2 linked regions of the Tribolium castaneum genome follow. The protein of the gene in region 1 interacts with the protein of each later gene in a pairwise test. Links are inferred from orthologs where the notes say so. Each region holds a gene or a part of one and is shown on either strand. Other genes may lie near its edges.

The links.
Region 2: the proteins of g (region 1) and Vamp7 interact in a two-hybrid assay, tested with the Homo sapiens proteins (2 studies listed by BioGRID and IntAct). The link is inferred for Tribolium castaneum from reciprocal best matches to the Homo sapiens genes AP3D1 and VAMP7.

Annotation. Positions count from the first base shown.
Region 1 is NC_087401.1:15,047,028-15,051,352, reverse strand, and holds the start of g (AP-3 complex subunit delta), read right to left. Parts: upstream 3,129-4,325; 5' UTR 3,085-3,128; coding exon 2,989-3,084; intron 2,943-2,988; coding exon 2,847-2,942; intron 2,804-2,846; coding exon 2,675-2,803; intron 2,628-2,674; coding exon 2,487-2,627; intron 2,439-2,486; coding exon 2,169-2,438; intron 690-2,168; coding exon 616-689; intron 569-615; coding exon 420-568; intron 307-419; coding exon 1-306. Other genes in the region: l(3)neo43 (cytochrome c oxidase assembly protein COX16 homolog, mitochondrial), read left to right, coding at 3,453-3,758; uncharacterized protein Proc, read right to left, coding at 4,186-4,290. UniProt on the Homo sapiens protein: Part of the AP-3 complex, an adaptor-related complex which is not clathrin-associated. The complex is associated with the Golgi region as well as more peripheral structures.
Region 2 is NC_087402.1:8,581,262-8,584,408, reverse strand, and holds Vamp7 (vesicle-associated membrane protein 7), read right to left. Parts: upstream 1,667-3,147; 5' UTR 1,475-1,666; intron 1,423-1,474; coding exon 1,219-1,422; intron 1,167-1,218; coding exon 938-1,166; intron 883-937; coding exon 815-882; intron 767-814; coding exon 602-766; 3' UTR 589-601; downstream 1-588. Other genes in the region: uncharacterized protein LOC103312779, read left to right, coding at 1,941-3,147. UniProt on the Homo sapiens protein: Involved in the targeting and/or fusion of transport vesicles to their target membrane during transport of proteins from the early endosome to the lysosome. Required for heterotypic fusion of late endosomes with lysosomes and homotypic lysosomal fusion.

The sequences.
Region 1 (4,325 bases):
CAGTAACATACCATTCGAAATTCGTGACGAATTGGTAGTTGTTTTGCGAGCAAATTAGAATTATTTTGTTTAAAAGTTCGTCTCGGTAGATGGTGCCTTCGGCTTTGTCCATATGGACCATTAGTTTTTTGACGATTTCCATTAGATTTTTTTTCGAGACCATGCCGTATAGCAAGTCTAAGGCGCGGAGTCGGATGGACTCGTCTTTGTCCTCTAGACATTGCAATATTAGGTCTTTGTGGGCTTGGACGCTTTTTGGGTGCGTTTTGAGGATTTTTGACATCGCCAAAAGGCCCAAATATTTCACTGGAAGTCGGTTGTTAAGGCGCTGATTACGAATTAATGGAGCGAGTGACGTGATTATTGTTAAAATAATTTAAGAAAAAAAAAACACATGACTCGCCCCACGCTAAACTTACAATTCTGGTCGGAATCTTCAATCAAAATCCGCAGTTTTTGGACACAGAGTTGTATGCTAGCGGCGTGATTGGGCATTCCTGACGATATTGTTATCAAAACTGCTATAACCGTATTTATACACTCATATAAGAGACTCATTGCCGAAGTGCTACAATAATTAAAACAATTATGATAAAACAAAGGGCGCAACCCTACCTGTGTATGAGATTAGTCAAAGGCTCAATCAACTTTTGACCTAGCCTAGGTTCAAGAGGCGTTAAAGCACCGAACTAAAATAAAAAGCGTTGTTTTCTTTATCAAAGGACCTAATCCAGTTAATTTAAAAAAAATACGGAGAACTATATGCTAGGAGGCGAAACGAGATACAAAATAATTCGACTTTTTTTGTACCCAAAAATATATTAATTACTTTTATTATTTATTCATTACTACTGTCTAAAATTTTCAAGATAAATATGAGAAAAAGCATTTTCCAAATCTTTCAAATTCTTCTAATCTTAGACTACAATTTTTTTTAAAGAATATTTAATTCTCTACAACTTAGTTCCTTACCTTTTTTATATCTTCAACCTTATTTATAAGAGCGTATTAGAAATAGGGAGTAAAGGGGTAAAAGTACTATATCTTCTATATTTCAAAAAATAATTAGTAATCGAAGATAAGACTGGTCTGTAACGCAATTCTCCTTTAAATAAAATTAGTATAAAAAGATTTAAACGCACTACTTTCAGTTTTTTCCTATAATATAGACTTTTTTCAAATATTTTTTTCTTTTCTCAAAATTTTTTTTTTGTTTTTTATGTGTGTGCATATAAAATAAAAAAAAGATTGAAAACTACCAGGGAATCCTCAGAGAATTTTTTATTCCTATAAGGGGCTGAAAAATATAACATGTCTTTTCAATTTTTTTTATTCTCCCTTAGATTTTTGGTAAAAAATCTTAGCACAGTATCGATAGACATGAAAGGTTTCTTCAAGAAATATTACACATATAGATAAGTAACGATATTATAGGAAATAGTCAAAAGATCGTCAGATGCAATGATAGCATACTTTAAAATAGCATACGTTAAAACTTTAATGAAAAATATGAAAAAGAAAAAAAATAAAAAATGCTATAGTCAATTTTTTAAATGATTTATAGAGGTTTGGAACAAATTATACCATTAGTTATAAATTATTGTCCCAATTATTAACTTTACAGTTATAGTTTTAAGTAAAATCAACGATTTAAAAAAAGTTATTTTTTGAAGAGCAGTATAATAAGCTTTTACTACTATTAAATACTTTATTTTTTCTGTATACTTGTAATTTTTTTCAAAATTTGTCTATAATAGTTATTCTTTATAATCAAAAATAATTATTTAATACTGAGTCGCTGAATATATATTTTTTTTAATTATTTGTAATGAGTAATGAATTAGTTTGATATTCTTTTACTAAAGAACAGTTAGCTTTACGGCATAAAAATAACAATAAAAATACGTCAGTCAAATATTTTTCAGTTACATTTAGTTGCCATTCACTCAATTTAATTTATTTTATTTTATTAAAAAATTTAATTATTAATTTATAATCGCAAATTTAAAAAATTATTCCGATCAAGTCTGTGCTACACAATATATTTTTTAATATTGCGCCATCTGCCGTCGGTGATGGAACTCCCAAAAACGGGGACATTTTATTCGTACATCGTCCCGCATCCTAGTATTTAGTTGTCCGTAGTCAAAAAAATACGAACTACTTACCAGTTTGATTATTTTAATTAGCATCCAATTATTGGTGCTTGTGGTCATTAATTTGAAAAAAACTGGGGCCAGACTTAGATAATTTTTGGGGTTTTTTCGTGCCAGTTCACACACAACATTGACTGCAGCCGACTGAACCCCCGGATCGGGGTCCTCTAACTTTTCTTTTAGTTTAGGAAAGGCAGGACGTAGGGCTTCGGGATATTTGAGGAACACTTTATACATCATTAGAACGGCTTTTTTCCGAATGTAGGGTTTAGTGGAACTTAACTAAAAGCAACAATTAGTTGTGTTTGATTAAATGACTTGGGTAGTTACAAGAGTTAAAATATCGTTTGAAAGGTCTCTGGCCAAGTCAGTGCTGATGTAACAGCTGAGGGACGTCAAGGCCAGCCCCGATTCGTACTGATTTTGCGAGTTTAACTCCTTCCTAATCATATTAGTGGTCAACATGAGCAACTAAAATCCCAATTAATCAACGTTTTAATCGGACTTAATTACCCCACCTCTGAATCACAATGAAACGATTGACTAGCCGCGAGATAACCGATCCGTTTCAGCGTAAATTTACTCGAACTCATCACTTCGATTATGTTAAAGCCGGCCCACGAAATATCGTACCCCAGCATTTGCAACTAAAAACCACAATCAATCGAAATCATTTACCAAATCACTCACATAAGTCAATTTCGCGATTGCGTTACTCTTAACTGAGAGATTATCCTGTCGCAGCTCCTGCTTGATATCCTCCATGCATTGCGAGATGTACTTCGCCTACAATCAAGGGGGCAACTAACATAACCTCGTTTTTTGCACAAACCTCATTCTCCTTATTATTGCGGATCCCGCGGACCAAATCGGTCAAATTCTTGTCGAACATGCGTTCAATGTTCCCTTTAACCTTCTTTAAGGCCATTTTGCGTAAAAAACTGACTAAATCAAATCAGGGGGCGACACAGCCACCCGACCAGTTTGTTCGAATTGGGGCAATAGTTCCGCACAGAATCGCCCGAATTTCAGTTCTTTCATATCACAGGATGTTTTAAAGGGGCGCTCGAGCGTTCGCCCCAGTTTTTTACTTTTCGTAGCCACGTTGACAACTGACAAGTTAATGACAGATGACAGTGGCGGCTCGTCAAAATAACACACAATAAACGCGTTCCTAGCCCTTGACGAGTCGTATAATTGATCAAAACTGGTGATTTTATCCCTGGGGGAGGTTCACCGACCGGTTGTTACCCCCAAAACTGTTTTTTACCAAATGTGGTGACATAACCTCAAAAAATGTTGCATAACGTGGGGGCGAAAATAAACGAGTTTTTGAATAAACGTTCGGTGAAATATGGTTTGCCGTTTCTTCTTGTGGTTTTGGGGGGTTCGTTCGGGCTCCGTGAATTTGCACAGTTGAGGTATCAGTTTTCACGAGTCTCCAGTGTTAAGCCCGAAGAAATGAAGAAATTGGGGATTGAAATGAAGAAACCGGGCGAAGTCACGCTCGAGTCGGAGTACGAGAAGATCAAGAAGATTGATATCGATAATTGGGAGCAGGTCAGGGGGCCCCGGCCGTGGGAGGAGCAGACAACGCAATAACTTAACTATTAGTTTGTAAATAATAAAAAGCGATTGGATGTTCATATATTTTTATTCCCATGCACATATTCCATGTAACACTTTAATAAGACACCTTAGGATATTACAAATGACACACTTATTAAAAGTTTCGTCAAAATATTGCTTCACAAATTGCAATAAAGAGCTTTATTACCGACAACCTCCCTCGGGACGGTCTCTCAATCAATTCTAAAATGATAATATTGTCAAGTAATTGACACAATTCCCTAAAACTACATAATTGCTTATCAAGGGTCGTGGCGTTATTGTCAATCAGGGGGCCACTTATTTACAAAAATAATTGTTCTTGTCGGTAATAAAATAAAGTTTAAAATGTGTCTACCTATGACATTGAATGTTTAAAAATCGTGTTCCGTGTCCGTTGCCTTGTCGTTGTGGGGGTGGTCTAGTGTGCGGGGGCCTCGCGTTTGTAGAAGAGCTTGCTTTCGGGGTGCCACCGCGGGGGCGCGTCGGCCTGGTACTCTTCTTTCTCGACCTCATTTTCGAACAACTATTCAATTTGTGTTGAAAAATCTCAATTTTTTT
Region 2 (3,147 bases), on another chromosome or scaffold:
TATCACATGCCAATTTACGAGTATGGTCCGTTTCAGATCTTATTAGCAACAGCTGTCAGTTTTAAAAAATAATTTTCTCTTTGAATTATTGTTTTTTTTGGCTTTAAATTTGTCGTTGGGATTTTCTTTAACACAGAATCCTTTTCTTTTTTTGCAGAATCTCTAAATTTTTTTTTTAGTAAGACCTAATATGAGACATATCTACAAAAAGAATGCTCGAGTTGGCAAATCTAAATCTTTTTTTTAAGTGGTTCGACTAATGATAGCTTCTCCGTATCCAGTTGCTGAATAAGAAAATTCTTTAAATTTGTTACCAACTAAAACAATTATTCTTGATTTTTTTGTGTTTAATTCTTGAATTTTTTGAGACTTTTTAATACGTGATTAGATAAAAGACTAGAGGGAAAATAAAACAAGAGTATATTTTGTCTGCTTTATTCAAGTAACGATACCTTAACAATTACAAAATTATAAATTAACGAAGATAAACTACATAATTATAAAAGAATGTTTTTATCACTAATTTTGCGGAATCTTATTTACATAAAGATAAAACGGTACAGTGTTTAAGTAATGAATAAAGTAAAATATCTTAAAATTTTTATTTCTTAGCAATACAGCCCTGCCAGAGAAGCCCTCCGCAAGCCATGCAAACAATAAAATAAACAATCACAGTAATAATCACACCAATGATAACATAAAGCTTAACGTTTTTCCAAAACATGGAACGTGCCAGATTGCGACTTGTCTTCCTGAACGTCACAGACTGAAAAAAAGTTTCAGAAAAAAAAACAACTTTTTATTAAATACTCACCCCACTATTCAAATTTTCAGCTTTATTTACTAACAGTTCCAGCCTTTCTCCCCTCATCGCCACATTATCTTATCAATGAACGCAGTAATAAATATCACATACAAAATATTTATTCACACTCACCTATATTCTTGACCATAATATTTTTAAGTTCATCCAACTCTCCATGAACTCTTGAAATTGTATCCACATCATGGGATTCGGAATAATGTTTCATTTCGTTGGCTAGAACCCTGGAAAATTCAGAATTCATCGCATATGCAATCGCAGTCTGGATAGAGTCCCCATATTGGGACCTGAAACGCCTTTTAATTTCATTGAGAAATAAAAACGCCCGTGACCTCTCAAACTCCTGAAACAATGATGACAATACAACCAAGTATTTACGCGACATTCCACGTTACATCGTCAGTAATACACATGTAAATAACTTGGTTTTCACAAACATAGTGGAACAAATAGTTCCCGTGCGAGTACGTCAACTTATCATCATGTGGTGGTATTTTTCCGATGATCTGTTCAGTAACTTCAGCGAAATTCCCGGCGCAAGAGGCATATCGAACTAGAACGGTGCTTCCCCGAGATATTACACTATAAAGAATTGGCATCTATAATGAATAAACAATGTTAATTGATCCTAAACAGTTGGGACGTAATTACGTTTTATTTTTTCCGATTTACGTTGACACCTTCACATAAACGCCAAAAATGCCACACACGTAACAATGATAAAAACGCGCACAACGAACACAAATATCTTTGAATTAATTGGTATTATTATAAAAAATTGAGAACAATAACAAAAACGTCATGTGTCACACTGACGTTTGGTTTCAAAGTGCGCATGCGTCAGCGATGACTCAGTCGATGTTCTAAATACCACACCAGTGGCGTCCGTGCATTTTCAAAATTTCTCCAAAAAAATAATTTCATAGTAAAATTCGGCCACGATACCGAAAGTAACACCTTGGTTTAGTTTGAGTGAGATTTATTTGAATCAAATAAAACGTGTTACAAGCGTTGTTAGATGTTGTGGTTTTTGAAAATCGAGTGGCGCGTTGTCAAAGAATTCAAAAAATGTGGCCGAGCAAATAATTCCAATCATTTCAATTTCATGGCGCAAATTATGGAATTCCTGTTAAATTTATTGTTACTGCGTGGGAAGGTTTTAACCACAGCAGCGGCCGAGACACTCCACGAATATATCAAAAAATGTATGCACTTCAAGCGAAAAATTTCGACCGAATACAGCAACGCGACCCAAATAATCCCGTTTGAAAACATGTTGGAGTTTATCAACAACTCGAGCAAATACACCTGTGAGGGAGACGTTGTGACGAACGATCTCCGCTACTTGTACGAACACATAAACCGGGTAAAGCAAGAAAATGAGAAACATACACATACTGTTGCTTTGGTGCCGCAAACCGTTGATAAAAAATTGGAAGAGTTGCCGAAAAACCAAAATTTGAACACAGTCCCTGAATGGTTGCGCCGTGAACACACCAAAATTAACGAGTTTAAAGTGAAAAGTCAGGAACACATCATTGACAACTTGCACGCAATCCTCAAATCGCAAGAGTTTCTCTTCAAGAATATCATCAAACTGGTGAACATCCTCGAGAAGGATGCCCTCATCAACTCAAACAGCGAAAAACTGGACAAAATCAAGAGGAAACTTGTCGCATGCACTGATATTTTGTCAAACGCAGCCACTTCGCAACAATTCACAAGCCTCATCAATAAAATAATCGAAGAAGAGATCACGCGTTGTAGATTCAGGCACGGCGAAAGCAAAACCAGCGCTGAAATTAACTTAAAAGTGCCGAAACCTGAGGGAATCGAAGCTGCTTTGGACATGTCGCACAAGAACAACGACATCAGAAGAATGAAGAAACAACTAGCTGAGAAAATTGCAAAACCAAGCGTACAAAATAAACAGAATGAGCGTTTAAGGGGCCGTATTATTGACCTGGAAGTGAAAACAAACTCCGCCAAGTTACTAAAACGGGCGAGATCCGAGCCAGTTTTGAACGAAAACCGAAAATTGGAAACCATCTGGAAGAAAACACAGATTGAGATTGAAGAATCCAAAAAAGTGATACAAGTCAATGAAGACCGTTTCAAGAAATTTGAAAACACACTTTGGCACACCTTAACAACCATGAAATTTTTGTCGCTGAAAAGTGATTACGCAAATATGACTAAGTGTGCGTTCTATAATAAGAGACAGTTTGTGGCGACGGAAGCAACAATTTCGAAAAAAGTCCAAGGAGAGGAAAAGTTCGGCAAGTTTGTTAAGATAAGTAACTCCATGTTCCACATTACGGAAA